Linked DNA regions of Lepisosteus oculatus. The protein of the gene in region 1 purifies or fractionates together with the protein of each later gene. This does not show direct contact. Links are inferred from orthologs where the notes say so. Each region holds a gene or a part of one and is shown in the gene's direction. Other genes may lie near its edges. The genes, in order: irf2b and irf2bp1.

The links.
Region 2: the proteins of irf2b (region 1) and irf2bp1 purify together in Homo sapiens (affinity purification with mass spectrometry; 4 studies listed by BioGRID and IntAct, counting the BioPlex papers as one, with this or other methods). This does not show direct contact. The link is inferred for Lepisosteus oculatus from reciprocal best matches to the Homo sapiens genes IRF2 and IRF2BP1.

The regions. Positions count from the first base shown.
Region 1 is NC_090696.1:75,448,192-75,463,892, reverse strand, and holds the start of irf2b (interferon regulatory factor 2), read left to right. Parts: upstream 1-7,505; 5' UTR 7,506-8,519; intron 8,520-8,613; 5' UTR 8,614-8,676; coding exon 8,677-8,682; intron 8,683-13,652; exon of another isoform or gene 13,653-13,677; intron 13,678-15,330; exon of another isoform or gene 15,331-15,531; intron 15,532-15,701. Other genes in the region: caspase-7-like, read left to right, coding at 425-553, 1,389-1,564, 2,133-2,250, 2,744-2,973. UniProt on the Homo sapiens protein: Specifically binds to the upstream regulatory region of type I IFN and IFN-inducible MHC class I genes (the interferon consensus sequence (ICS)) and represses those genes. Also acts as an activator for several genes including H4 and IL7.
Region 2 is NC_090698.1:1,451,747-1,467,663, reverse strand, and holds irf2bp1 (interferon regulatory factor 2-binding protein 1), read left to right. Parts: upstream 1-9,887; 5' UTR 9,888-10,184; coding exon 10,185-12,131; 3' UTR 12,132-12,140; intron 12,141-12,485; 3' UTR 12,486-12,574; downstream 12,575-15,917. Other genes in the region: nova2 (RNA-binding protein Nova-2), read right to left, coding at 705-867. UniProt on the Homo sapiens protein: Acts as a transcriptional corepressor in a IRF2-dependent manner; this repression is not mediated by histone deacetylase activities. May act as an E3 ligase towards JDP2, enhancing its polyubiquitination. Represses ATF2-dependent transcriptional activation.

The DNA.
Region 1 (15,701 bases):
AGGTTCTTTGGAAAAGTCGGTTCCAGAGCAATGTGTAGATCTTGAATTGCTCTCTTCTGTTGTTCTGCTGCTTAATGGTCTACCTGCATGCCAGCAGCACTGTGCTGCATTATTTAATTCTAGGAATGCCCTTACTGTCCTAAATACTGTAGCACGGCAGAGCAAAGGCAATGCAGGATGACCACACCAGTACTTCGAGTAACCCTGGCTCTTCCAGGCTTGTTGTTGCAAGACTTCAGTTCAACCTGTACTGTAATTATGCAATGAACTCTTAATTACGTAATTGATTCTGCTGCTGAGGATCTATTAAATAATCAAATTGATTCAGGTTAGATCAGAATCTTGCAACAGATTGAAGAACAAGGAACCAAGATTGTCTGGCCTGGCAATCTACGCACCTCTCACAGTTTTCGTTGATTGTCAGGAATGAACAAGCGGATCGGCACCGAGGAGGATGGGAGGAAAGTGAGGGAAGCCTTTGGATCGTTGGGCTTCACAGTGCAGATGGAGAAAGACCTGTCATGCGCTGAAATGCGGCAGGTCTTAGACACAGGTACCGGCCTTCACAAAATGCAAAATATTCTCCATACGTATCGCTAAAATTAATGTTCAAATAAAATGAAGGGAAGCAGATGAGATGCAACTGTAGCTTTGTTTCCATTTCACTTACTCGCTAATCTGTAATAGTGTCATACACACAGTTTGAGAAACTAAATCTCTTTAGTGTCAAAGCACACAGCCGAGGTGCTGTGATCCAAGCTCTCACAATCCTCCGAGACGTTTATCACTTCTGAGGGGGCTTGTGAGCCTGTGGGCTTGTCAGCTGGGACCCGCTGGCGAATCTCCTGAGCAAACACTGCAGGACTCGCAGCTCAACAGCAGGTGGGAGCGTCGAACCACTGCAGCTGTGAGGAGGAGAGAGGAAGGGGCAGGAGGAACGTCTACATCTCCCCAAACTTCCAACACAGCACAGGAATGGTGAACCAAGTTATTAACAATCGGCAAGTCCGAAGAGGCATGGCGTAATTAAGACACTGAGAGGTTTTAAACAAACCACAGAACTGTATTGGAAAAGCATTTGTTGCATTCTCAAGGTCTTGCTGTGTGTATATATACAGCATACAGTACATTTAAACAGAACAACTGCGTTACGCAAAAAGAAGCACTTGGCATCTTCAACAGATGTGCTGTAGCTGACACTGTAGAATCCTTCCCTAAGCAGACGGAAGTGATTTGGGATCAATTAGCTGGCAGCAGTCAAACAAGGCCATGATGAAAAGCCTCCTGCCATTCACAGCTCTTTGTGTGTCTGATGTGTGCTGACTTGCTTTGTGGACAAGAATCTCCCTGCTGTGATATTAACACAGCTCTATTTTCTTTGTCTTCAGTTTCTAGAGAGGACCACGGTGAGATGGCATGTTTTGCTTGTGTAATTCTTAGCCATGGGTATAAAGGTCACATTTATGGGACAGACAGAGAAATTAAAATTAAGGAGCTGACTGCTCTATTCAGTGCACAGGACTGTCCAAGCCTAGCTGGGAAGCCCAAACTGTTCTTCATTCAGGTAAAGCATTTTAATTCCAGGGAAAGACAGAATGAAAGCAGGTGATGCAGAATATTAAAATACACCTCAAATTTTCTATATACAGTACAATGAAAGTAAAAAGGATCAATAGTCAATGTTCAAATTCTATATTACGTTTCTAATAACTTCATGAAAGGGAATATCTAAACTGTTTTTAAAGCGACCATAGTTTAAAAGCACAGAAATCAAGACTTCAGTTTCAATATTTTGAAACTTTAACAGCATTGCTGCTTTAAAAAGCATAAATATTTTTAAAGTACAGTACCAAGGACAATGTGCAAAATGTTCAATACGTTTTTATCAAAGGAAAAAAGTCATTGTAAATAATAATAATAATAATAATAATAATAATAATAATAATAATAATAATAATAATAATAATAATAATAACATATATTTACACATACTTTGACGTTTTATTATGTTTGTGTCTGTTGGAGAGTGTTTTGTTTCAGTTTTGTATCTTCCTTCCCGGTGTATTCATGGAAAATAACACAGAAAAAAAGCCGTGATCTGTCACTTAGGCTCCTCTCTCTCGCCCGCCCAGGCCTGCCGAGGAGAGGAGTACGACGGCGGCGTTGAGACAGACTCCACAGAAGCGGAGGACATTGACATCAGCGAGATCCCAGAAGAGGACTTCCTGTGCGCTCACTCCACCGCTGCAGGTACCGTCCCTGCGTCTCCTGTGCGGCCAACGCGGCGGAGCGCACACCTTCCTCTTTAGGCTGTGCACCTGCTCTGCGGCCTCAATAAAGGCAACTTTGATTGTCCTTGCCCGATTCATAGTGCTAGAAAGCCCAGGGTGTCATTAATGCAAGACCGAGAATGTCTCGTTTACATTAAAAGCAGGATACAACTTCTGGTTGACTTTTCGAAAGTTTTCTCTGCCATTTATCATAGCGGTATTACAGTCCATCAAAGTTCAGAAGTCTGTTTTGCCGGCTGGCTGCCCCAGATTGTGAAGAAGTGTGCAAGGTGCATCATCTTTCGTTTTCATCCTTATGTTTTTTTTTATTTTTTAATTAAAAATATAAAACATGTCTATTCCTGCTGTGATCCAGAAAAAAAAAGCCAGACATGAGAACTCTGGTTCGCTGCCGGTTTCTTTTTTCCCAGTCGTCTATAAGCAAGAAAGTCACGGTTGCTTTTTCTCGCCAGGATATTATTCATGGAGGAACCAGGTCCGGGGCTCGATTTTCATCAGAAGGCTGTGTGAAATGTTAGATCAACACGGCAGGGATCTGGACCTCGCTAGGATCCTGACACGGGTCAGTCACTGGGTGGCCCTCAGGTTTGAATCTGACACAGGTGCCTGGTTGTCTCATGGGAAAAAACAGATGCCATGCATCATCTCCAGACTGACAAGAGACCTTTACTTCAGCGAATAAATCACCACTGAATGTAATTCTTCCTGCCGGACATGCCTAAAGGAAACCAGATTGGATTTAACACAATTTATATGGACGAGGAATCATGTAGGGATTTTTTAAAGGTTACAGCTACACGCATTGAAAAAGCGCTTTTCTCTTGTTTTAGTTCTATCATATCCATCATATTTCTCTTCTGTACAGTATCTACAGGATCGAAATATTCTGCATATAGTCTTTCCATGACCTCATATGTTGTTTTTTTTATGACTGTTAGTTGTATTGCATCTTTAAAGACAAAATATTCCTTTCTTAAAAACGTTTGAAATTACAGCAGGGATTGTAAATAGTTCAAGTTTAAACCGCTATTGTGTGTTTACAACTGGATTTCTTTCTTAACTAAAATATCCTGAAAAATAAAATATTAAAATACTTACACTATAAAGTACATGAAAACGAGATGGACAATGCAATATCGTGTTTTTTTTAAAAAAAAACTGTATTTGGTGTGGTTGTGTACAGTATAAAGCACATAGCTTGAAAAATAGACTATACCCTAGACAATACACCCTTACTGAAAGTGAGAGACCTGAACACTACACAATGGCTTTATCATGAAACTCTCACGCAGTAAGATACATTTTCACGGCAGCAGACGTCACTGTGTCATCTTAGAAAATGTACTAGGGCAGGGTTTAGGGGTCTCTAGACAGGTGACTGGAAGGGTGTACAATAGGTTCAAATTACATGCTGAGCAAACAATGTCTTTTACTCAGAATGCTTCAGTCAAATGCCCAGCTGTATGAACAGGAACATATCCAAGTTTCTATTTTATAAAAGTGTCAGTCAGGTAAAATAACAACACTCACTGTGCTTTGAGCTCCCTCACACGTGGGTTTTTCGTGAAGAAAGCGCAAGCGGTATGCTGGCCTTGGTGTTTACGACGGCACACGTAACTGATTCATCGCTCCGACAGGTACGGCAGGAACAAAGTGCGATTCGCGCATTTCACAATCCGGCTGCGGAACACCTTGAACCCTGAAAGCTCAGGCAAGCGAGGCAGGCTTTACACCCTTATTGCTCCTGGTTGTAAAACCTGTCCCACCTCAGTCCTCGCCCCTTCCTGACTTTAGAAACCCAGGCGAATTCTTCGGTGGTAGAAAACATTATTGTACGACCAAGCCTGCCACACTGATAAGGCCAGAGCATGACTGGAGAACAAGAATCGGCTTGGAACAGGGAGATTGCTGCGCTGTTTTCCCTTAGAACTCTAACATTCATGTGGTTACACCCGAATCCATTAGATAACAATCACTATACATACACATTTATTTCTTACACTAAAATTCAGGATATAGTGCTGTTCAACAATTCAGTGAGATGGGATTTTAATATGGATTCACTGGGGGCCAGGTTTTTAAGGGTTACTTTCCGGACTTTTTCAGGAGCAAAATATTAAACTTTTTGTCGACGTCTTTTGATTCTTGAAAATACAAAGCACGTCTGCAGTTTCATATAAAAATGTTTAGAGGGGACAGATTTCAAAACTTAGAAAATATGTTACACAAATGTGATCAAATACGATCGTAAAACACAAACGGCTTGTAATGCTACATTTATAAACTTGTTTGTGTGTAAAAGACGTATATGTAAGTTTATATGTAAAAAGACTCTGAGAGTATCAGGATCGATTGTACAAATCTATTACTATACAATCATAATTACTATTTATATTAAGCACTATCATTTGCATGTTTGCACCATCAGACTGTTTGAAATAGTAACATACAAGACATCCCATAAAGTTGAACTTCCTTAAACTATCAAACAGGCTCTTCTTGTTTTTCGGATGTTCACACAGTGCTGCTGCTACAATTCTTTACAGTTGTGTAATGTGTCAGTCTCCAGTGTATTGACTGTTGTAGGGTGAAGTGCACACTATAGACTTTTGTTTTGCCAACTAGAACACAAAAATAATGTACGAAAGGGACACAGAAGTAACATTGAATCCTGTGCTAGTAATGGAAAAAAGAAGTCGCTTGATGACAACAGACTATATAAGGTTACAGTGTTTTTAAAAAAGCCTCTTTAGCCCAGAGCTCTAGAACTCAGGTCCTAGAGAGCCCCATTCCAGTTTATTTTATACAGCGGATCACCTGTTTGTATCATCTGGGAACACCTGTAAGTTACTGATCACCTAAACAGCTAATCTGTTCAATTAAGAACATCCTTTGCCCACACTGCCACTTGCCTCGGAATAGCCTCAGAAATGATTGGAAATGTTCGGTCGAGCACTACCCACAAGCCCCCTGCAACTGCTGCTCAACGGGCCTCCACTTTCTAACCACTTCATCCCACACCTTCCAACTGAATTACAGCCCCAGGGGCATCTGGGCACCCTGCTTCCACGCAACCTGAATCTCCATCTGATAGATCGATAGTCACGGGACACCATGGAACTGACTGGTGTCCCAAGAGCCCAAAAGAAGTGACCTTATTCCTTGTTAACCTGATGCCTTTGTATCCTCTTTGTTTGACAACGTTGGCAGATGTCACTACAATTTGTCTGGGTTGATTAAGGGTGGGGGCACGGACCCTACAGAACACATGCCGTATGCGGTCATACACGTTTTATGGAAAAGCCACGATTAGCAACTCCAGGTAATACACTGTCGCAGGGCCACTCCGAGGAAAAACAAGTTATGACACAATGTCCATCTGGAGCCCTTAACGGATTAATTGCATTTTTATTGCAGTTTCCACTCATGGGGGCCCAGCTTATTTCACACATACTGTACATGCGGACCCACAAAATGCTGCACGCAGAATATTCCTAGAGTGATGTTCTCAGAACAGAGAAAACAACGGGACACTACCAAGGAGAATCCCCAAGGCATTATCACAAAATCCCATAGAGAGAGAGAGAGGAATTCAGGGAAGACCTAGTTATGTGGGTGGTACAGTTTAAATAAAATTTCATGCCTTATTCTTGTTATTAAAATAAGAACACCCCCCCCCCCCAAAAAAAAAAAGAGCAATCAACAAACCATCGCAACACACATTTCATTCCTCTGTAAATGACAGAACTGTGTCGGATAAGGTGTTCATCTGCACCTCTCTCAGAACAGGAAGGAAAAACATCAGTCGTCTCAGGATCTGAAGAGAAAAAGTTCCAAAGTCCCTGTAATCTGTATGAGTTTATTAAACAGTTAACAGACTCCAGGCAATGTTGTCAGGGCATGCAGTTTTAAACCCGGAAGGCAATACATATAACTACGTCATTATTCTGATGATTTCTTTCCCCTATTTGGATTATTATGATTTTTTTGCTGTTACTATATTATATATACATACAATGATAATAAAGCTCCGAACAACCAGCGGCTCTGTCATTCTTAAGGTTGGAGGAGGGGTCTGCAGACCTACAGTAACAGCTGACCTTTGATCAAGGAAAGGCAGCGTCTGAAAACGAGCCCCAATAACGCAGCCCCGCGTAGCCATGGTCGTAAGCACGTGTAACACAACTTCCACCCTCTCAACTCGCTGAAGCCACGGGTTTTTCTTCTCTCTTTTTTTTCCCCTTCCGTTTTAATGTTTTACACCGTGGCTTCCGACTGCCTGCTGTGCGTTAACGCCGGGACCCGCACCTCTGCCGCTGAAGGCAAGCCGATTGCGAAACCAGCTTTGCGTGCGTCTGTCCCTCTGCCTCTGTAAATATTTAACTGGACGTCGGGCTCGGAGCACAAAGGGGGTCCGGTCCTGCAGCGCCTTTATGGACAATTAAAAGTGGGAGAGAAAAAAAAAATAAAAGAAAAGCGACTGACAAACACGCAGCGTGTGTGTGTGTGCGCGCACACCCGCACCGTCACAAAATACTCCGGTAAACAAAACGACGTGTCCGCCTCAACAAGCAACTCCCGAGAGCGGCCGGCCGGCCGGCCGGGGCCACCGCCCCCCTTTTCAAAAGCGCTGTTCGCCCAGGCAGCGCGCAATCTGGAGACGGCCACCAGCTACAAACCGGCACTTTGTAGCGCCAGGCCCGCTCAAGAGTGCGCAAGGCGGGGCGCCCCGGGAGGCACGGCGATGGCGAGTTTCCTGCCACACCGCCGGGCTTGCTCGCCTCCTTCCCCGGCGCGCTGCGCACACGCCAGCCGGGCCGGAGGGGAAGCGAAAATGAAATTTCAGTTTCCGAGAAATGATGACAGCGCCGCCGTGCACCAATGAGGGGGCGCCTCTGACTTCGCAGCTCCTCGGCTCGCTTCTGCACGACGCCCTCTAAAGGTTCAGGCGAAGGCGAAACAAACAGTCCGGGAGGGGATTTCCAGGCAGCTCGCTGTTTCCTCTACTTGTTTTGCTTTCGATCTGGACACTGAAAGCGGCCCCGAGTTAAGTTTTAGTTTTGTTACTGAGCGCCGCAAACTTTCACGACAAACTTTTCGGCCCCGGGGGAAGGACCTTTAAGGTTTGGACTGGGTCAGAAAGCGAGCAGGCGGGGTGTTTTTTTTAAAAAAAGAGAAATCAGGTAATGATGGTTCTTGTATATGTTTTTTTTTATTTATTAAGAATTATGTTTCCTTCTTGATATAAACAGGAAGTCCTGTCGCAAAAATGATAGACAATCAGATCAGGGATGTTCGGAGCATGTGAAGTTGGGAGAGGGACTGAGGTTTAATTTCACTTTTGGATTGAGAGACCGATTATCTCCGAGTACACAACTTGAACTTGCACAGCTGTCAGTGTACAGTATGACGCGCTCCAGCGAGGAATACGTGCTCGTCTTGAAATAATAACGTGCCCGATAACGATTGGCAAAACGTGTAACGTCGTACCACACCAGCCTGCTAATAATGCCAACAATCGTGTAGGGGTGATATTGATGGCTTTTGTCGAAATAAAATAAAAAAAAACGTTTCGTGTTTGCGAGAGGGTACGTTTCGTAAGAGAGTTTAGGGCGGTCGGTTACGGATGGCATATCTTTTATCTAGGCTGCAGTAGTAAGATCAGTGTCGTGAGCTGCAAGAAGCTAAATGTGCGGTTTATGTTTTAAAATGACATTTCTCCACATGCCCAGAAGCATACTGTACGCATTTTTTATTTTAGTTACGTGAAAGTGGTTGTATTTTTTTTACGGTATGGGTACGGCTGTTTTTATTCGGGGGGAAACCCTATATCGGACTTGCTGGGCGAGACGCCGCAGCGCCGTGGCTGGTGTCGGGCCTCCCGAGGCTGGGTGCCGTGCTGTCGGCAGGCTTGGGGCTCCGTAACTTGTCGCTTTAATCGGGCTTTCTCTCGGTTTCCTCCTCTCCTCTCCCCCCTCCCCGGCTGCGGCGAGCGGTGACGGTGCACGCTGGGCTCGCCGCCGCTGAAGTGACAGGCGGCGCAGCCAACGGCGGGGCGCTCCGGCCGGGGCTTGGCGTGAGAGGCCGCCGCCGCCGTGCCCCCATGTGCCGCACAGGCGTAAGCCTATCGATACATTGTAGTCTGCCAAGTCATACGACAGGCAACCCAAGTTGCACAGCAGGTGTCCTCTTCGGGCCTCGGTTCCGTCAACACATGCCGCCCTCTACGTAAGTTTGAACCGCTGTTAACAGTGCTTGGAAAAAAAAAGGGTTGAATTCGAGGCGTGCTGCTTTGGATACATAGCCCGTGTTTTTCTTGCAGACGTTGCAGTGAACGAAGGCATCGCTGTGGTCGTAGGTTAACTCCCATGTGAACGAGGCAGATATGCAGGTATAGGCGCTTGTTTTCCTAGAAAAAGAACTTGCCTTGGGATGAAGTTTTAATTTGACAGAATGCACATTTTAAACACAGTTGTCTTTATTCTAAAAGGGGGTTAAATACTGACGTTTGAATAAAGACTTGATCACGATCTGTGGTTTTAGTTGGTTTGTGTTTTGTCTTCCTTGGATCGACGCTGTGTTAATAACTAAAAAATGTACACCTAAAAGCAGATTCCTAGATATATAAAAAAAAGCTGATCAGGTTCAACTCCCACATCCCTGTTTTTTTTTTAAAGGTGAAGCAATCGCTCAGTAGAGAATTTCTTTCTCATGTTGCAGATGCAGTTTCTTAAAAGTTCTTGAAGGTGTGACAGCATAGCTAAAGTATGTATCCTCCCTGTGCTGTCATTCCTGATTAAACGTCCCAGGGGCACCTCCTAAAGATGTAGGATCTCTGTCTTCTGAAGCACACTGTAATCCAGCTTGGTCATAGTGTACAAGACTTCTAGCTATAGGGCAACTGTTTGTGATTTAGGGGGACATGCTGTGTGGTAATCGCTTAGATTTCAGGTTAGCATTATTCATTTTGAGGAGCCCAAATTAGAGAAGACATTTATGTGTTCGCTCTTATCTGCTTCTGGGTGACTAAGTTTCTTCTAATTGTGACTGTTGTTACCATATCTGCTCTGCTGCACATTGGGGGCTGAATAATCTACTTGCACATGCCTTGAAAGCATTTAGATATTAGATTGAAATCTCTGAGACCAGTACTATCTCACACGGGGGTAAGATGGAAATCAGATGTGTGTATCCCTCATTGTGGGTTACATTTAATCATCAACTGGCAAATGTTTATATAGCACTTAAATGGTACGTATCAGTGTCTGTGTCTGCTTGCCACATCGAGAGAGAAGTGTTCACAGATTAAATCAGACTGCTGTATATTGAGGAAGAAGTAGGTCTTTTCAGAGAGTACAGGAGAACGTAGATGTTTCTGTAGCTTTAATGCTCTCCAAGCTTGTTAGTGTTTAGTTTTTGACTCTTAAATGAGGTCACAATAGCATATTTTGGGGTTTCTGGTTGGTAGGCTACTCATTTCAGTTTATTTCCTTATAAGAGAAGCAGTTTTTTCGCTTTGTCCGTAAGAAGTTGTTTTATTTTAGTTGTTTTGCTCTGGAATTCCAAACAACAATAATGAGATGTGTGTGTGTTTAATGTCAAGGGTTAAAGTTAACTGTAGGATATAATCTGACCACCTGGCAAAATAAATCTGACCAATTAAATTACCTAGTGTGTGGTGGAACAGTAACTTGAAAAATAGCTGGCTTTTTTTATTTGTGAATTGCAAGGCAAAAATACGTTTTTTTAACTTGGCAGTTTTCCAAGTTTATCATTAGGTTTCCCTTCAGATAAATGTAACCCTCTGGGACTTTCAAAAAAAATATTAAATTCTCTGAGACTGTGTGTACAGTAAGTGAAAGATTCAAATATAACTGCGGTTTCAGGTGCCTCTGACATTTTCAAAAGGCAGTACATTTAGGCCGAAAGCTGTGTGTGTGTGCTTCTAATTACAGAACCTTTGAAGTGTTTCAGAATCAAGCTGAAATTGCAGTTTTAATAGTGACCAACGTGATCCGGAGTGTCACTAACGAACACGATGGCGTTATGGAGGGATTAAGTGTTCATCGTGAAATAATATTACCTATGAAAAAATAATGCTCATGCAGTTGCCAAGCAGGAGGTTGTTAATGTTTACAATGTTTTAATGTAGCATGGCATCCTTTAGGAGGAATGTAACCCATGGCCATCCAGTGAATGTGGAGATCGATGCTCTTCTGTTGTCTTCCACCAGATACCACTTGTACTTGTACTTGTACCTGAGACCATCTTTTCTGAGCTTCATTCAGTATGACCCCCACACGGTGATTCCTAAAAATAATAGCCTTTTAGTCATGAGATAGAAAATTGTCGGCATGCAGAAATGAAATAAGGGATGTTATTTTTTCCTCAGTTTCTGTCATTTACTTTCACATGGTGGGAAAGAAACTGCTTCATTTTGGATGCACTTCTGACAAGCCAGCATTCAAGGTTTGAGCTCCATTGCAGTGCTCTTATGTGGTGCTTGTAAAAAACCCAGCCCCAGTTCTGGCTTTGGTTTGGAGATTGTGGCTCACATTTCATTGAAGTCCATATCTTCACATAAATGCCACTGGAATTCGATTTCGGTGTGAGTGTCTTATTTAAAAGTGAGTTCATTTTTTTCACATTTGCAGAAGACAAGCAGGTGTGGTGTGCAAAACGAGCAAGTTTCAAATCTCAAACATTTACACTCGCCAACCACGCACACACACAAATGGCAACTCTTAAATCAAGAGATATTAACTTTGTGGTGTGTTGAATTTTACTGTTTATTTAAAAAATATTTCTATTATTGTGCTATCATGTTCTCTTAATAAATAATAAAGTTGTGAATTCTCTAAAAAAACAATTCCTGCAATATATTCCGTAGAATGCGTCTAGAAAAAAAATGTTCTAAAATTTGTGAAAACAGAGGAGGGGCAAAACATATTCCTTTTATTTGCTTTCCCTGATAAATTAAAGGTTTTAGAGTTCTGAGGCCAAAGATTTGGAGTTAGAGCTGGGCGGTAATTTGATAATGATAATTATCGCGATATAATTTTCCTCGATATAATTTTAACAAAAGTGCGATGAATGTTCGATATATATGTTTACGCTTTGCTCAAGATATGCGCATGCACACAAAATACTGCGCGAGTGCGCGTGTGTGTTGCAGACCGGGCAGCTGACAGATTTGTTTAAGGTTTCTGCTGTTTGGCAAGTGTTTGTTGTGTTCTTAAAATAAAAAGTTGTTTAATTTACCAGTTAACTGTCTGGTTTCTTCAACTTTCACTCAGGAGAAAAAATCTGCCTTTAAACTTGAAAGAAATAATGATTTGACAGTTATTGTGATAATTATCGATATCGACTGATATGAAATTTCTTGTCGTGATGTTTTTGGCCATATCGCCCAGCCCTATTTGGAATCACAGTTTTTTCTGTTTTGCCTCATGGTTCTCAGTGACAACTCCTGAACTGTAGGGGAAGAATGGAGAAAGGAGGCCGAGCTCCTCCATTAGGGTCTCTGTCGTCTTCTGACTCTCTGCAAGCTCCATAGCGACTGACATGAGAGCTAGCACTGATTGGAGGAATGGAGCATCTCTCTCACTGATGTCATTGAATGGTGCCTGGGTCTGGGAAGTTGTAGGAAGTTCATCTCGGAGAACCCTGGTTAAATAATTCCAGCGCTTTCCCTCACAGAACTGTATCAGTTGCACTTTACTGCTTAGCAAATCCCAACAGGACTCCACTAGGAAACCCTTGCTCTTTAACAAGTTTAAATTTAGTGATTACATTTTGTGATTAGATTCAGAGTGGCTCTGTGCAGTATAATAGCTACTAACGTAACATTTTGATTGTGCAGCGTGTGACATTTTGCGTTGCTTGAAATTATTTTCATGTTGTTATGTAAACATAAACATTTCCTTGTGCAGGGTGGGTTTTTAAAATTCCTTCTGAGGTATCTCAGTCAGTATCTTGTTAATTGAGATTTTGCCAAGAGTTTTTTGTCTTTTAATGTATCTTTGATGAGATAAGTAAGTTTACAATAAAAATACAATAATAACTAGATTATAATAAAACTAATGATAACGTAACATATTTTAGAGCTTTATTCATTTCTGAAAATCAAAGTTCTGTTGATCAAATTCCTGTCTGGAACCACAGGAGAGATAGGTTTCGTGTCTTTTTGTTTTTTCCTTGCACAACTGACTGCATTTCTATGGCAGGCTGATCTTTTATGGTGTTTTCTGAATATAATAGCAGGTCAGCCATTATGATCAAATATTAACCTTGTATGCAGTTTAGTGCCAGGGTCTTGAAACTGTCTGCTCTTTATAAACAAATCAGAGGACGTACTGTAAGTGGACACTACATGGAATTTTATTTAAACTGAGTACAGGAGGAACATCCTTACACATAGAGTTGATGGAGCATGGAACAAGCTTCCCAACCATGTTGTTGAAGCCGAAACCCATAGAAAATGAACTGGATGGGTGGAATGACCTCGGCCTCCTGTCTTAGATGCCCAAGGAGACATTTACCCAGGTAGCCAGAAAAGAGACAAAATTCAAGACACCATTACCCCTAGTTAAATCTGCTCTGATATGTTTTTGGTCATTGGCTGCATCGGTTAAGACTGATGGACTTTGACCCAGAGAAATGTTCCACTAGCAAGTGAATAGTAAATATTGCAATAAACCACCTGAGTCTGAATTTTTGTTCCTCCTCATCTTCTCACAGTCACAATAAAGCAAAGCGGAATCTGGGAACATTATAAATTAAGAATGTCTGCTCTTTGTCATCATGTTCCTTTGTTATGCAGTGTCCCAGCCTTCCTACTAACAGGGAAAGGTGATGGACTGAACTGGCCCACCTCACCCGCTCACTGTTCAGAGCAGCGGATGAAGACAGATCTGTGTCCAGCCTCCGAGGCGTTCCAGAGATGATTGTGGGGATTCAAATCGAGGGGCTGGAATTAGACACGCGTCTTTGGGCGAGCGCTGCTCAGTGCGGTCAGGAAGGTCGCCGGAGTTGTCCAGCCCTCTGTCCTTCTGCTTTCTGGGGCCGTGCAGAAGCGACACAGTGTCGCTGTGTGCATCTGTGTGGAGGGCGATTGCAGTCACGATGGTTGTACAGGAACAGCACACTGCATCTGTTCGCGGACACTTTCCACAGGTGCGGGATGCAGCCTGGGGTGCTCGCATCTGGAGTTTCGTTTTCTACGAGCAGGATGTCTGGGTAGGAAAGCAGCTGGTGCTTTTGCAAGTGCAGAAGAGCCCCCGTGCCCCTGTGTGGAGGTGATCGCGCCTTGTCCTTCTCTCTCCCTTGTGCCACTGCGGAGCTGGTCAGAGGACTGCTGTGGAAGTCCTGGTGTCACTGGCGAAGTGTAGGTGCCAGCTGTGCAGATTATTTTTGATTTTACAGTGGAGTTCGTGGGAAGGACAGGACACTGAATGAGAAGGGACATGATGACAAAATGCAAGGAATAATCATAATAAATTAACAAAAAATATTAATGTTGGCATTATTACATAATTTAATGTACAATGGGTTGTGTATTTAAATACATGTTTTCTTGGGGGCTGGCAGTGTGTGGCATTGGCTTGATACTTCAATCTGAGTGTGGATACTCTACACATTGCGAGAGGCATGTCTTCCAATATAGAAATCTTTCAGCACCCACCTTCAGGACAGCCAGTTATACTCCTGCTGTACTGACATTCAGCACTCCTGACTTTCTCTTCCTGGCCCAATAACAAGAGATGCTGTTACTAACGTGGTCTGAAGATAAACAAGGAGAATCTGCTTATGAACTGGATGTGAAGAGAGAGACCGGACATGTTTTAGATTTTAGAATGAAGGATAAAGAAGTCTATTGGTGATTGGAGTAATGTGTTTGAAAAGGAAAAAGGAGAGTTTCTATAAATTTGTATTAAGTTTAGTACGGCTTGTCAACTTCTGTTGGTGTCCTGCTTTCATTGTTATGGAAATTGTAAAACTTGAATCGCATTACTGTGCAAATTGGTTTTAAAATGTACTCTACTTTATATTGAAAGCTAGTTCAACCTCTTTACCTTTAAGCTGTAAATTGATTTAGTAAGAAATGTTAGAAACGATGAACAATGCATCCTAAAGTCAGCCCCAGCATGAGACTGAAACCTGTTGATAAGCTGTTGGTGTAATTTTCATGATTAATGACTGCAGACACACGGTCCCGTTTCGTAAGTAAACCATTCCAGAGTGCTTCATTTTGCCTGGCCGGTAGAGGAGGTGTGCTGGAAGTCAGATATTCTTTCGCTGTTCCTCAATGTGACAGTGGTTTCCTTAGTTCTGATGGATTTAATGGAGTTTCTGTGTCGTTAATCTAAAAAAAGGAAGTTCTTGTAGCCAAAAAGAGCCCCTTTCCAGCCATCTATTTAAAAGGCTGTGCAAAGTCTTTCCAGAGACAGGGGTAATAGGACTGATCAGGCTCAGAGCAAGAGTATAAATCTTAGATGTGCTGTTTGCCATTACTTACTGCTCCTGTGGTGTTTAGTGTGGTTTCTTACGAGGAACGTTTGCTTTGTGTTTTTCAGTGGTGTGTTTTCCAGGAAAATTAGGAGGAGGTCCCATAGTGGGTTTTAATTTTTTTACACATGATTTCTGAGCACCGTTATGCCATTATTTGTTCAATTATTCATACAGTGCTTTTGTTGAAGTAAAATGCTCTTGAATGCAGACATACTTAATTTTAATGGAGCAACTGCAGACTCACGGTCATTTTCAACTCCCAGGGCTGAGGGCTGTGGGTCCGAGGGTCCCAGACATGGGTCAGAGTGGACAGAGATCAGGGGAGGTTTCTGGAATGGACTGTGAATCTGTAAATCTGTGGGGGGAAAAAGAACCACAGGGCCATGATCACCACAAATAATTTACAGAATCAGTGAATATCATTTTGATAGATTTCTTTGTGCCCGAAGGCATGTTTTAGTACAGTTTGTGCACACTGCTGTTCTTGCTTCGTGTTCCATTGCAGAAGTGCTACAACACTTGTGGCTTTTTCTTGCCCGTACCTGGGAACGCGGTGTTCTCACTGTTGTGGTATTTCTGTAAATAACTGAAGACTGTCTTGCGTTTCAAGACTGTTGACATCTGCGCGGTTTACAAGGCTGGGGTTTCTGTCCTAGCCGAACACCAGTAAATGGGGCCTGTTTATGGCTGTCATGAACAGAGCGACTGTTCGAAGTCCAGAAGATAAAAGGTCAGCTCACTCGGCTTTGAAAGGATGACGAAAAAAATGATTTGCCTAAACTTTCCACTCTTAAAATATCTTCTTCTCGGCATGAATGTAGTAGTTGTAAACGCTGAGAAATACAGGAGATGTTCTTAAGGAGTCGGGTGGGCACTGAAAGCGTGGGGATGGAGTCTAAT
Region 2 (15,917 bases), on another chromosome or scaffold:
GTTCGCATTTGTATTTATTTTCTAGATTCTCTTGCCGGTCTGATGCAGTGTGAAGCCCGAATGTAGGATACAATCCGTGCGCGAACGGTGCGCTGTGAGGTGGAGGAGGCAGCACGGATGAATAACCACCTCAGGGCATTGGGAACGAATGCGCACACACGCCAGAGACGATGTCAGCATCTGTCAACACACTGTCCCGGGTTCGGCGGGCGTGCTGGCGCTCCTGTCCGGGCCGGACCTGCCGATGGGGGCTGTCGGCTGCGGCCCCGTGTTAAACACTCCGAACGCCCCGATTTCTTGTCGCAGACGCCCAGTCACCTGCGGCAAAGCCCCCGCCGGGGGGAGATGGGTCTTTCGGGCTGCCTGGACAGCGGGCTCCCGGCGCCGCGAGGGGGGAAATCGCACCCTCCCGCGAGCGCGGCGCTCGGGGTTCGGGGCCGGTTCGGCGTGCTGCGTGGTGCGCGCGGCGCCGCGTTCTGCGGATAACACCCGTTTAAACCCGATTAAACCGCGAACACGATCTGCACCAGGGAATTCGCTTCATTCGTACCACTAAACCAACCCCCTATCCTCCCAGGATGCGTATGTTGGTTTTAGACGACCACGACTTAATCTTTTTTTTTTTCAAACAATAGCCTGCACAGTCAACTCCCCCCCCGACCCCCCCGGGGTTAACCGTGTTTTCCTCCACGCGGAGCCCTTACCTCCGGTGTTGGTGCGCTTGGTGCTGCTGGCCTCTGTCGGGGTCTCCAGCGGCCTCTTGCGCGAATCGGGGGGGTCCGACTCCATGTGGGGCTGCTGGCTGTGGTGGTGAGAATTCGAGAAAATCCCGTTCTGCTGGACTGCCCCTCCGGCCATCATTTTCATAGTCGCTTCACTCAGGGACCCCCGAAAGAAACGCGAGAACCCCCAGTTATCCCCACGGCGACAAAGCGAGGCAAGAGTCCGGCGCGAGCGAAGTGTTCTAGGAAGCTGTGCAGCTGGACCTGCGGTTCTCCCCGCACAGGGCTCGCCTACCCTCCGCTTCAAGACGCAGTGCTAGAACAGCAGAGTGCCGGGCTTATTTGTTAAACAGCGCTGCTTCTTGCTGCCTGGAAGAGACGTCAGGTCTGAGTGGAATCCGATGAATGAAATGCGTCTGTCTTCCTCTGACACGGCTCAGCCTCAGCGCGCTTCGCGATCGCGACCTCCCCTCTTCGGACTGGAGCGCGGAGCTGGATCGCAGATTTCCCGACCTGTGCCGCGGCTCCCCGTTCAGCGGTCGTTTTCTCCCCGGGAGTGACGCTCTTCCTCTGCTGCCTGCGGCTCGGGAGCCAGACGGAACGACGGGAAGCGAAGGCGCAAATCGTTGCGGATAGCGCGGCGGAGAGCCCCTCACAAAGAGGCAAGGGAGGCGCGTACGAGCGAGGGGAGAGCGATGGGGCGCAAACGCTGGTGCCGCTGTGTCCTGAGCTCTCGCATGGGGCTGCGCTGAGAGACGGGCCGGGTGGGTTTGGAGGAGAAAAGGACGGGATGCAGAGAAACGCCGGAAACGAAAACGCGCAGGAAAGATGCGATCTGGTGGGAGCCGCTCCGCGAGAGGAAGATGCTGCAGTCTTGCCTTCAGAGCATCCCTGGTCTGAGTGCCGGAGCGCCAGGACCGGGTGACGTCATGGGCGCCCGAGCGCATCCCTGTCAGATGTTAGTGGCGGAGCCGCCCCTGGCCCAACGCAATTGGCCGCGATTGATTTGTCTCCGGCGAGCGAGCTATAATTTTCTGGTGTCACATGACGAGAGAGAGAGAGAGGGGGGGGCTGTTTGAAAACATCCTTGAACAGAAAGGGCTTGAAGTATGTAAAAATAGGCAGCGTCTCCGGGTTATAATTTACAGCGTCGGCCAACACAACACACATCGTCTCGCTGAGGAAGAGCCACGGGCCCCGTCTCGGGCGTCACGTGCCAGCAGCGAGAGGCGCATCACGGAACGGCTAATAATCAGAAAATTAGCAATAAAACAGTGCCTCCCAACAGCCTGCCTCTGCTGTAGCCCGTCCTGATATTTGGGCCACGCTAATCTGGCAGCTGGGTGAGGCTAACAGCAACAGCTGGAGTGAACGATTTAGGGAACTGTATCTGCAAATTAATGAATATATCACAGCAATAAGCCTGACAAGAAATGGAAGTGTTGATCTGGCTCAGTGACACCCTCGCACGCCGGAGCACCTCCCCTTCGTGTCCCCTCACCGCGTCACACTGCAGTCACAGTGTCGTTACGCTGACCGAGGCCTCCAGGCGAGCAGGACAGGACAGCCTCGCCGCTGAGCTCGCTGCGACAGTCGTCCAGCACAAGGAACCCGCCTAACCCACACAGCTCCTGCCTAACGCACGCAGCTCCTGCCTAACCCACACAGCTCCTGCCTAACGCACACAGCTCCTGCCTAACGCACACAGCTCCTGCCTAAGGCACACAGCTCCTGCCTAACGCACACAGCTCCTGCCTAACCCACACAGCTCCTGCCTAACGCACACAGCTCCTGCCTAACGCACACAGCTCCTGCCTAACCCACACAGCTCCTGCCTAACGCACACAGCTCCTGCTAACGCACACAGCTCCTGCCTAACCCACACAGCTCCTGCCTAACGCACACAGCTCCTGCCTAACGCACACAGCTCCTGCCTAACGCACACAGCTCCTGCCTAACGCACACAGCTCCTGCCTAACCCACACAGCTCCTGCCTAACGCACACAGCTCCTGCTAACGCACACAGCTCCTGCCTAACCCACACAGCTCCTGCCTAACGCACACAGCTCCTGCCTAACGCACACAGCTCCTGCCTAACGCACACAGCTCCTGCCTAACCCACACAGCTCCTGCCTAACGCACACAGCTCCTGCCTAACCCACACAGCTCCTGCTTCTTGCCCGTCAGCTCTGCTTCGTCCACAGCAACATTCACGAGTCCCCTGGCCTCCGGTAGGGGTGTGCAGACGCACTGCCGGGAGAGAGGAGGGTGTCTTACAGACAGGTGGAATTGCTCGGTCAGACACAGAAGAAAGGCACCACCCAGAGGAGCTGGCTCGGCTCATCTTGAAGAATCTGGAATTTTAGCCACCTGGTTCTTGGAGGAGCCCAGCTGAATGGCCAGGAAAGCTATTCCAGACATCCACAACTCTCAGTGTAACCCTAACCCTAACTCTCAGTTTAAAGAGGCGCTTCGTATTCCACTGAAGTGATTTAGCTTGCTTAACCCTTCTGCATTGAATAATCCCATAAAATTAAAAAAACCTACGGCTCTTCTTTGAACTTTTTAAAGTGTATAATATCCCTTTGATTGTATTGTGACCAGAACCAAGCACAAGATTGTGATAATATATTAATGAAGAGCCTGGAGAAAAGTATGTTTTTCAATGATTACAGTCCATTTATTACAGTTCTCTGCCTTTTTAAGAGCCACAAGATGAAACATGCTGCCTGATGAATTTTGTAAGGTGTAGGTAGGGTTATTGAGAAAATATTGTCCATATGGCTGACAGTATAATACAAACAATGAAAAGTGCCGCATGCTTGTCTCATTAATGAGGAAATGCATGGAGATGGGTTGTTAATGGGCGACATGGTGCCATGGCAGTTAACACAGCTGTCTCACAGCTCCTGGCCTGGGCTGGTTTGCAGCTTGGGGTGCCTTCTGCGTGGTGCCTGCGTGTTCCCCTGTGTGGGCGTGTGTTCTTTCCGTGCTCCTCTCGACAATGCGAAGACGTGCTGTCCAGGATAATCGGCATCTCTGCAGTGCCCTCCGTCTGTGAGCCCTGAAATGGACTGATGCCCCAGTCAGGGTCCTGCCTCAGCCTGCGCCCTGTGTCTGTGAAGTGCACACTCGTGCGTCAGGTGCTGTGCTTCTGCAATGGGACACCAGAGTGCCTTATTGCAGCCTCTTTGTAAAAAGGAAGGACAATAATGTTGTTTCTGCTTGGACAGGAGAATAGTCAAGACAAAGGTCATACACTCGTGCAAAGGGCACATCGGTGGTACTAAGATGGGGGTGATTTAAAACAGAAACTGAGGTTGCTCCCTCTTCAAGGAGGACCAGACCTGGTCCTCCAGCTGCCCTGGTGTTCACGGCGTCCCGGTGTTTCCATGGTCACACAGCTCGCGGGCTGGACCAGGGGGCCCTGGGGCAGAGACGGAGGGGACCTGCTGTCCTGTTGTTAATGTGTGCTCAACAGCAGTTAACCGGGGTCGCGAGAGGACAGCAAGAGCAGAAATCAGTCTATTTGCACCTTCACAGCTGAGGCTTTTCGAAGGAGTGGGGGAGGGCACTGTGTGTGTGTGTGTGAGTGTGTGTTGGCAAGGGGGTTGGTAGATCACTGCTTCAGATTCTGAGGGAGGTTGTGCTGCAGATGCAGGCCTCTCAGTGTGTGTGCCTCAGCAAGGCAACAGTCTTTGTGCCTGAACAAAGGCCTGGCTGAGTGTGTGTGCTGGTTGCCGTGGTTCAGGAGCGGAGAGTAGGGAATCACGCTGCACCAGGGCTGGGGGTCAGCGCTGTGCCAGAGAGAGGTCCTGCAGGGAGCAGCTCCATATTGCCCTGAAGCTCGGCACAGAGTCCGGCTCCTTCAGGAAGGAGGTTTCTTGTGCTGTTTCATTCACCTTGTGAGCAACACGGTGCCGCTCAGAGGGCCGGAGGAGGAGGCACCCCTGCGCATCTCTGCACCCTGCGCAGGGGGAGGCCCGGGGATCACTGAGCAGGGTGTGAAAGAGGGGGGGTGAATGATGAGGTAGCGCATTGTGTGTGTGTGTGTGTGTGCGTGTGTGTGTGCGTATATTTTCTGACGGTACATACATAGACGCAGCTATACCTCCTAGAAGCCTGATCTCATCAGATCGCTGACGTTTGGCGAGAAGGGTCAGGTCTGTATCTGGGATGAAAGACCTCAGGGGAGAAAGCAGTTTGCTGCTGCTGTACGACCAGTAGTGGTGCTCTTCCCCAGACCAGCGACCCCTTATGGTGACAGAGGAACAATGCTATGGAAGGTACCGACCTTCAGATAAGACAGCAAACTGAGTAAACTGACTACTTGGTTATTAAATATCCCAATGCATTGTTTATCAGTTATAATAATAATAATGTTTCTTTATTAGCCCTATACAACTTCTTGCATTAGGAATTTGTCTTTTCGCAGACCCCAGCTTGCTCTCCATGGAGACACAGACACACAGACAGGGAGAGAAGCTGGGGGTCAGAGCGCAGGGTCAGCCATGGGGTTGAGTGAGTGGGCTGGGGTGTTAACCCTGGCTAGATTCCACCCTGGACTTGTACTGTCTGGACTCTCAGAATTCCCTCCATAATTCAGTTTGTGAAACCCTTTCTCGCTCCTCCACCTGGTCTGTTTCCGCAGAGTGACTCCTGTGTATGCCTCAGTGTGCCCTGCACAGTGATAGATGAAGTGGAACCCTCCTATAGTGAAGCTCTCTGTGATCCCCTGTGATATAAGTTGTATGTCAATGCAGGGAATTATTACTATTTATTACCATTACTATTTAAACAAGAAAAAAAGAGAGCAGCAGTATTAGATCTGGTGATTTATCATCAATGCGACGTAACTCCCTGCACAAAACAGAGCAGACGAACCCATGTGGAAATCTAGCCTGACTCATCATCACAGGAGGTGCTGTGGTTTATACCAGTGAGAAGAATAAGTTGAGAAATTCAGTTGTTTCTGGGGTGGGTGCTCATCTTTTCATTCATTTCCTTGAGTTCTGTGGGCTAAACTAAAAACAAATAATAGTCCATCAGAAAGATAATTTGATCACGTTGTTTTACATTTTACATTCTGGTGAGCAGTGGTCAGCATTGCAGTGTTCGGTTTTTGGGGTGCTGGGTGGAGTTTGTATGTTCTCCCCATGATAACATGGGTTTCCTCTGGGTGCTCCAGTTTCCTCCCACAATTCAAAGTCATGCTGGTGGGTTACCTGGCTTCTGGGAACACCGGCCCTGGTGTGAGTGTGTGCGTGTCTGTGTGGCCCTGCGATGAACGGGCGTCCCATCCAGGGTGTACCCTGCCGTGAGCCTGTTGCTTGCTGGGATAGGCTCCAGCTGGCCTGTGACCCCGTACTGGACAAAGGAAAATCTGTTTAGGAAAATCTAATTTCCCTTCATCGCAGCGAAAGGTAGACAGCAAAAGTGCTCAAAACCTGTAGGAGTGGTTCAGGGTTTTCCAGTAAAACATCAGGTGCTGTCAGAATCAAGCAGGCAGTGGTGCCCCTGGAACAGAGGCTGGAGATGATTGTGAATTCGGGGGTTACAGCTTCGTACGGTCTTCTGCTCCTGTTTAACTGGGGGCAGATGGCCGCTAACACTCCCCTGCGCTCCGAGATTCACAAGAGGAACATTAACCCCAGTGGCAGTCTGTCTCTAATCCCAGAAAAAGAGTGAAAGGCTGACTGAGCTCCAATAACCCGGACTTTCAGCCCGCCCGTCTATTGTGCGACGACGGGTCTCCATCTGCCCCTCCTCCTCTCCACCGCGCTGTCTGGCCGGCCCATTGTCCGGCCCGTTCCACCGGGGAGGGGGGCCGGGGGGGGGGTATTGTCAAGATTCTGTGGATTTGGCAACATCTGGCCCTCTTCCTCCCCCCCTCTAATTGCTTTTATTGACCGTGTCTTCGGAGAAGGCGAGAGTCATAATAGAGATGGCGACCGCGTGAGCGGGGGGGGGGCGCCACGTGACCGGCTGGCTGTCGCCCGGGCTGGGAAAAAGGAAACGTCCTGATTCCCCGCTGGACGGCGGGGCAGGCCTTCAGAGAGGAAAGATGCAGTTTGTTTAATATTATTTTATTGCATTCGCCGTTAATCAAACGTGAATCGATTTTTTTTTGTAATAAAAGGAGACGGGTGGCAGGGCGGGGAAACGGGTCAGAGGTCGAGCGCGCTGTCCTGCTTTTGGGGGGAGGGCCGGCGGCGCCCCAGAAACGGGTCTGTGAATAGGAGCGGGGTGTGAGTGTCTGGGGAGGTGTGGCGGAGCGGGGAAGGGGTGCGCTGTGGAAGCAGGGATTAGCGATCCTTACCGAGACGGAGAAGGTATAAACATGCCCACACAAACGCGCGCACATGCTGCCAGGAAATCCACTGACAGCTTCTGGTGCCATCTGGCCATCCGGGCACCGCCCGCGCCTGCGCCCTGGAGGAGCTCCAGCCCCGCGGGAGCGCCCACGCACCCACGCACCCACGGCGCGACTGGCCCGAGGCCCGCAGGTGGCTCCGCTCTGGACAAGTTTGCGCCTTCTTCTCTCTTGCGCGGAGACTTCGGAGCTGCCTGGCGATTTCCTTTCCCGATTCCCGAATCCTGGAGATCCCATATAAAGACCTAAAATGTGAACTGCGTGTTGCTCCAGGCTATCCCGTGTAATCCTCAGACACGTGTGTTTTTACAGTCGTTATTCAACCCGTTTTACTGACGGGTTTAAAAATGATTGTAACATGCCTTCCGATGAGTTTCCTGAAATCTCTGCCCCGCGGTCTAGACCGAGCTTTCTGGTCTGAGCGTCTCCTGAGATTGGGGCGATCTGCACAATACAATACAATAGGGGTCGAACGCTATAAAACCTACTCAAATACGGCAAATCATTGTCAATAAAACACACAAAACACTGTAGGAGGTTTATCCAGTTAAGCTTAATTACTCTTTTTACAGCAGTATAGAGAAATGTTAAGATTCATTTCACAATAGGTTGAGATCGAACACTTTTTTTTTTCGTTTAGCTTTTATATATTCTTTTGTTGAGACGGGCTTATTTTCCCGCACAAAGAAGGAGAAGCTGAATGAAAATGAAGTTGAACGGTTTTCCTTTCGGTTTGATCCCGGTGGATCGTCGCTCTGGTTGATTTGAGTCGATCTCGGCCCCCCCCTGGCGGTAACACCTTGGACCGACGCCTTCGACCTCAAAACAATTCAAAAGGAATTTACAATGTTTTTGCTGTGTTGAATTATTAACATTGCAGTTTCTGGCTGCCATACTATGCAGATCAGACTTTCCTCTCTATAGCTCTCTAGGGCCTGTATGTTTTAACTAGACGGGGAAAGATCAACGACTTCAAGTCAACGACTAATTATCGGCAGAAGACAGTAGGATCAAACAAATCAGACGAATATCCCAATACGTGTTGACTTTACAGCAGGCGAGGCAGTTACAAAGTACAAGAGAATTTGTGAAGGATTCGTCTTTAAAATAAAGACGTAGGTCCAGCACCTCTCTGCGCACTGGTTTCCATGGGAACGCGCGTTGCCATGGCCACAGATCGTGCTGAAGCAATTGTGAGACGAATACCGATTGACCGAGGTTCCAGCGCAAAGCGAAGGTTTAAGTCGAATTGATGGTCCCTTGTAAGACCCATTTCGCTCAATCGTGCGCGTAAGCAACGGTGCATCATGAGAATTTTATAAAGATCCTAGACCATTATTTCTTTCACATGATTCCATTTACTTAGTAAACACAGTTATAATGATTTTGTAGGTGTTTTGCAATAGCAAGCAGTAGACGTTTCTACGTGTCGCAGGGAAAGCGCCTTGATCAACCAGCCGATAATCAAACAGCTCTTCACGAGCAGTGGCCCTGTCCAGGCGGTCTATTTCGCCTCTGCGTGGATTCCGACGACGCCACGCAAGCCTGCAACCCTCTTTTCAGTTCACGACTTTGAAAAGAAAGTTGCCTTCTCCAAAAAGCTCTCACAGGGTGACTTTGTGGGTTTGACAAGACGTGCAGAAGATACTCCTAGTTGTGTATTGGGGGAACTCCCATTACAGCCAAGATGCTGGTTGCGTAATAGGTGTGTTTTTTGGCAGCTCCTCTCCCACCGACGGTTAACCACACTGCTCTACAGCTCAGACATGCATGGAATGTCCCTTGCGCCTGCGCACTGCAGCAGCGCCGTGGGTGGGAGGCAGAGAAGGAAGTGGTGATGTCAGACTCTGCGGCGCAAAGCGCTCTGGGAGATTGAGTCCACACTTTCCCAGCGAGTTTGGGACCCTTGGGAGAGAATAAACGTTACTGCTGCTATTATACTTTACCTTTACTTTACCAAAGGTAAAGTCTGCTATTAGACTTTACCTTTGCCTACTGCCCTGTCTCTCTCACACCTGAAGAAGGCTCCACGGCCGAAACGTTGTGTTCTCTTTCTTCTTTTTTTCAGCATGGAATAAACCTATTACTTGTTCCTCTGCTGCTATTATTATTACAATAGAACGATCATCACAGCGAAGCTTGCAAGTTTAACATAAATCAGTAAATAGCGATTCAACATTTGTATTATTAGAGTTGTGTTACTATTTAGTCATTAAAAAGTAGTTTTTTACCCCGCGAATAAATATCTTGTGGGTTTTTTTCGAAGCTTTGCTTAGGTGACACAGCTTGGCCGACCTCACTTTCCGTGGACTAGAGGAAGGGCAGTACCCGCTCAGTGTAAACTGCACCCAGCTGGCCTGTGATGTGAATTCCTTACCTCACTGGTTTCCTGGGTCATGCACGCAGATGAGAGCTTTCGTCCATAAGACATAGGAAATGCTGGTAAAAGTAAACGCACAGGAATACTAATAGTAATGTCCGATCTTAACGGGTTTCTGTTTCCGAAAATCCGGTCCGTGTGAAGCCACGTTAAGCACTGTCATATGCCTGGGATCTCAAAAAACATATTTTAAATTAAAAATTAACTTTTACCGAGCTTACTGGAGAGTAAGTACTGAGGTGAACTCCCTATGAGAGAGACACTGAGGAGGAACCCGCTTATAATATAGGCAGCATAGAGGACATAATGCTGTATTCCTGGGCAATTGTACTGGACTTCTGACAGGTGATAGACTGAAACACACCGAGAGAACAGAGTCATATTCGCCGGTCCCAGGCGACCGCGCCGGTTCCGAGCGGGACAGAAACTACAGTTCCCAGAGTGCACCGCTCCGGGGTTGTGTAAGTTTCCAGCGTCTTCTAGGACAAACACTTCCACTCGGGCAGAGAGACTGGGGCGATACGGAAAAAAACAAAAACAAAACAAAACAGAAGAAAGGACAACAAGTGACGCGAAATTCTCCAGTTCGCCCGCGACAGAGGGGCCGAACCGTGTTTGTGGGATCGGGGCCGCGGACGAGGAACTCGGGAAGCGAGGCGGGATTTCAGAAACGGCGGCGCTGTGAGAGCGAGCGAGAGGGCCTGAGAAAATGTCCTCTGCTTCACAGGCTTCCTCCAGGCGGCAATGGTGCTACCTCTGCGACCTGCCCAAGATGCCCTGGGCCATGATCTGGGACTTCAGCGAGGCCGTGTGCCGCGGCTGCGTCAATTACGAGGGAGCGGACAGGATCGAGTTCCTGATTGAGACGGCCCGGCAGCTGAAGAGGACTCACGTCATGCAGGACGGCCGGTCCCCCGGGCCCCAGGCGGGCAAGCACGGCCCCGCCGGGAAGGACGCGCCGCTGGACGGCGGCCGGCAGCCCGTGGAGAGGCTGGAGCGGGTCCGGGCGGAGTACGGGCTGCCCGCCCGGCTGCCCAACGGGCTGGCCCGGCCGGAGGAGGCGGGGGCGGCCGAGGTCAGCCGGCAGAGCCCCACCTCCCGCCGCGCCATGGTGGGGGCAGTGCCCCCGAGTCTGGTGCCGGGCTTGGTGGGCACGCCGCACGGCCTGCTGGCGGCGGTGCCGGGGCTGAGCTCCCGGGCGGGGGCCACGGCGCTGACCATCAGCGCCCCCCTGCTGGGCGAGCTGGGCAAGCGGCAGGCGGCCGCGGTGGGCCTGGGCCTGGGGCTGGTGGGCGGCGTGGCCCCCTTCGCCGGCCCCGACTACGAGAAGGAGCTGAGGGAGAAGCAGAGGAACGCGGAGGCGCTGGCCGAGCTGTCGGAGAGCGTGCGGGGCCGGGCCGAGGACTGGGCCGGCCGGCCCAAGGCCGTGCGGGACGCCCTGCAGGCGCTGGCGGGCTGCGCCCCCTTCAACGTGCGCTTCAAGAAGGACCACGGCCTGGTGGGGCGCGTCTTCGCCTTCGACGCCAGGCCGGGCCTGGAGCTGGAGCTGAAGATCTTCACCGAGTACCCCTGCGGCTCGGGCACCGTCTTCTCCAGCCTGCTGGCGCTGGCCAAGCAGATGTTCCACGACTGCCTGAAGGACGCGGGCAAGGTCATCAGCTCGGGCGCCAAGTACGTGGAGTACGAGCGGCGGCACGGCGCCGGCGACTGGCGGCTGCTGTCCGAGCTGCTGAGCGACAGCGTGCGGGCGTTCAAGGAGGCCCCCGCGCCCGAGCTGCTGCCCCAGCCCTTCCTGGACGCCAGCTGCGCGCTGCTGCCCACGGCGCTGTGCGGGGTGGGCCGCGCCGCCCCCCCCAGGGGCAGCCTGCGGCGGCGCAAGGCCGAGGGCGGGGAGGCGGAGGGCGGGGAGCCGGGCAGCAAGCTGCTGGGGGAGGAGGGGCAGCAGCCGCGGCAGCACTGGGTGCCCGTCAGCTCCGCCGGCATCTACTCCGTCCTGCCCCACCTGCCCGGGGGCAGCCACGCCAGCCAGCCGGCGCCCCAGGAGGGGGCGGCTGCCCACAGCGAGCCCTCGCCCATCTCGGCGCTCATGAGCGTGGCCGACAACCTGGGCGCGGGGCAGTCGCCGAAGGACGCCCCCGGCTCCGCCCTCTCGCGGCAGAACAGCGGCAGCCCGTCCGCGTCCTCGCCCGCCGGCCAGCCGCCGCGCCGCTTGGCGTCGCGCAACGGGGACGCGGCGGCGCCGCCGGCGCAGGGACCCCCCAGCAGCAGCGCCGGGGCCCCCAGCTCCGCCGCCGCCTCCTCCGCCACCGGCGCCGCGGCCGGCAGCAGCAGCGCACCTCTCCCGCTCGCCGCGCCCGGGGAGCAGGGCGCAGGGGAGCCCCCGGGGGGCAGCGCCGCCCCGCTCTGCTGCACCATCTGCCACGAGCGGCTGGAGGACACGCACTTCGTGCAGTGCCCCTCCGTGCCCAGCCACAAGTTCTGCTTCCCCTGCACGCGCGACTTCATCCGCAGCCAGGGCCCCGGCGGGGAGGTCTACTGCCCCAGCGGCGACAAGTGCCCCCTGGTGGGCTCCAACGTGCCCTGGGCCTTCATGCAGGGCGAGATCGCCACCATCCTGGCGGGAGACGTGAAGGTGAAGAAGGAGCGCGACCCGTAGCGAGCCCAGGTGAGAGCTCGGGCCGCGGCCCCCGGCGGACAGGGGGGGCGCCCCAGCCTGCTCTCCCCGTGGTGCGTCGGGAAGCGTGCGCCCCGGGGGAAACCTGTCCTGTTTGTTCCCAGGCTGCCGGAGGTTGACCCCACTGGGGAGTGGCGCTGGGGGAAGGGGTGCGAGGTGGGGCTCCTTCCTCGTGTCGAAACGGTGAACTTTATCGAGCGCCTCGAGCAGGAGTAAAGGCAGCGGATGAAAACGGGGTGCAGCCTGTGAGCGCGACGGCGACGGCCGTCCCGGTCGTGGCCCCTGTGACCCCCAGGTGCCGCGAAGCTGACGTGCTCGTGTTCTCTTGTCCCACAGGGGGTCCCGCGCGAAGCCGGGGGGCGGGGGTCTGCGTCCGGCCCAGCCCAGGAGGAGCCTCCTCAGACTTTGCTAAGGGCGCTGCGTGTCCAGCCTGGGCCCCGGTGGACGAGACTGTCCGGCTCGTGCGGGTCCGGGCCCTTCGCTCGGGGAGGGGTCCAGCACCCAGATGCCCCAACACCTCTGCAGAGAGAACCCCAGCGTGTCTGCGGCCTGGGGCAAGCTCCCCCACCTCCTCCGGCGCCCCGAACTCGATTGCTTTCTTTCTCAACCTACAAGCCTACGGCCCCCCCAGTCGGACTGAGGCCGAGCCCGGGGCCTCCCTGACCCCTGACCCCTGACCCGGGCCGGCGGGGACAGAGCTGACCTCCTTTCAGATTTTATACCAGGGAAACACGGCGGAGTGCGTCCTCTCTCTCTTTGGATATAGATGTGCAATCTCTAGTTTTGATACGATGCTTTTTTCTACGTACCACTGAATCGTTATGCCTACGCAAACGGAAAACCAAAGATAGTTCCAGCCCGCGGCGAGGACGGCGGGCCGGGCCGGGCCGGGACCCCTGCACAGGTGCCGCAGGGGCGGCGGGAGCGCGGCGTGGCCCAGCCCCAGTGCATCGTGGGCTGCCAGCCGACCGGACGGGCGCTGCAGGGGCGCTTGCAGTCGCACACGGTTGAGTCTTACAGCACAGGTGGTGCCTAGCAGCGCCTTCAGCGGTTTTCCATAGCGGGTCAGAAGCGGGTTTGTAAGCGTTTCTGCTGTGTCGTCTTTGGCTCGGTGGAGAACAGGGACGAGGATTACGGGGGTCTGAGATGGACATGTAGCGACAGAGCGAAGAGCCTCTCGCCAGCCCCGTGAGAGATCCTGCCCGTTCTAACGCTGTCATCAGACGAACGAGCTGCTCTTGTGTTGTTTGTCCTGCTTCACCGACCGATAGGAGAAAGAGAACAGGCAGCTGGGGCTCAGAGGGTCCAGCCTGTCGGGGTGAGAAGGGGCAGGGGTCGTTCCCGTGCGCGTGGAGCGTCGAGGCGGGAACACGGCGTGCCCGGGGCCTGCTGGGATTTGCCCGGGCAGCGCAGAGCGGCTGGCTCCCGTGTGTGTCTCAGAGCTGGAATGCCCTTCGCTGGCCGTGAGAGCAGGTGCTGCAATAGCAGGGCAGACACAGATAGACACAGGGGGGGAGTGGGGCAGACACAGATAGACACAGGGGCAGAGCTGGGCAGACACAGGGGCAGACACAGATAGACACAGGGGCGGAGCGGGGCAGACACAGATAGACACAGGGGCGGAGCGGGGCAGACACAGATAGACACAGGGGCGGAGCGGGGCAGACACAGATAGACACAGGGGCGGAGCGGGGCCTGCATGCTGGGCCTTGCACCCCTAGTTCAAGGCCTTTACAGAAAGCTGTCTGGACCCAGACTGGCCAGTTCCAGTACCATGTTGTGTGCGCTCCTGTGAACACACGGAGTCTCCATGCTGAGGCTGCCTGCCTTGCTGTGTAGTAATCTCCATCCTGCATTCTGTCTGTCTTCTAGTCTGCGTTACATGGTGGCCCCAGAAAAAAGGAAGGCAGTTAACTGAGAGAATTTGTGGCTTTTTTGTTGTTGTGTTTTCCTGTTCGCAACAGATACCATCTCCTGGCCTGGGATGACGAGCAGAAACGAGTGCTTCTTGCAGAACAGTTGAGCTGTTTCTATACTGTTGGTTCTGGGGTTTTTTTCGGAGGTGTTTAGCTGTGCAATTCTGCCTTTGTCGGTTTCGAAACACTATGAAATATTTGAGTCGATACGTTCTGACGGTTATCTGCACACCATTGAGCCTCCTGTGGTCTGAAGAAGCATTTTTTTTAGTCCACGACGCGCATGAACAGCGAAAACAAGTGATTAAAGGAAATGATTCAGTTTGAGCCTGTCTGTACACAGTGAGTTGGGCCTTTTGTATCTTTTTTTAATGGATGTCTTACCATTTGGCACAGCTCAAAGCGCTGTGCTTTCAACTTAGTGTCTCCTACAGCTTTTCAATTGCTACATGACGAAATGCCCTGTCGTCTGTGGGTTTAGATACCAATAAAATGCCTTCTACTCAAAAGCTCTGACTAGCTTAAAGAGCTGAGGTGTTTTCACTGGGCTGTGTTCCAGTGTAAAGCGCTCTTCCTTGACGCTGGAGTGGAGGCTGAGGACATTTCTGGTTGACGTTCTTGGTGTTTTCGGAAGAACAGCTCTCACTGGAGTGTGACACAGAGGGTCCGATCCATTTCTGACTGCATTCCAGCCGCACTTTTAACCTCTGGTTTAAAAATGACATGAAATGAAAACGACAAAATGTGTTTGTTGTGCGTTTGCACCACGTTGCTTGTCCCAGTTGGTTTAAAAAAGAAGTCTACAGTGTTCTTTGCATAGTTCTAGTTTTGTTGTGTTTTTTTTTTGTACAAAACAATCACCAAACCGTGTTTGCCCTCAGAAGTGCCTAACTGATGCTGTTCCTTGTCCGTTCTGTGCGTCTGCCTTAATAGAGCCCAGCAGTGTGTCCCCCAGCAGGACTCGCCGGGCGGGGAGCTGAGACGGCTCGAGATGGGGCCGTGTAGATTGTGTTTCTCCATGAAGCGAGAGCCCAGCACACGGCACCCGTCAGGCCTGGCCTGTGGGACGCTGTCTGTGGCCTGTGGACTAGGTTACGTCTGACTTCCACATGTACACACAGGGCTGGGATTTCCTGTCGCTGCGCCAGAGGGTGGGGCGTTCTCCTCTCTCTCTCTCTCCTCGCTGTGCGCGAAGACTGGACAGTATTTAGGTGTTCAGGAGCTTGGGTGGGTCGTGCTTGCGTACCGTGAGTCTGCACACTCGTGCGCTTGTGCAATGCAAAGCTGCACCCCAAATATCTGTACCCCAAGCTGTGGTTACCGACGCAATAATGACGGAAAGCCAAAGAAGTGCTTTTCGTTGGCTCAGAATTTGATAAACATGGGTCTCCTGCCCCTCTGTGTTCCCAACAAAGCCTTGTGGTTTGGGGGAATGCAGAGCTGGTCGGGACACTCCCCTCCTGTTGCACTGGTCAGTCGTCTGGCCAGTCCTAGTCCTATAGAGTGCCTTCTAGAATGACCATGACAGCACGAAACGGTAAGGAAGCCGTCATCAACGAACACGCATGGGAGCAGATTTGTGAATTCAGAGTGTGTGTCCAGCACCGTTTATTAAAGTGTTTTCCCAGTTCTGCAGTTTCTTAGTTTGGTTGCTAGGTTGTAGGCCCTGTTACTATATTTCAGGATGAGAAGGTGTTTACTGTTTTTTTTTCACAAGCATATCCAGGGTGTGCTGGGTTAAGCAGCTCTGAATGAAAGAATCTTTTTTACTCCTCCACCCAGAACCCAGTTGTGGATTAGCACAACAGAAGAGCTGGAAATTCCCACCCTGGCTGCTGTCCTCAGTCCAGGT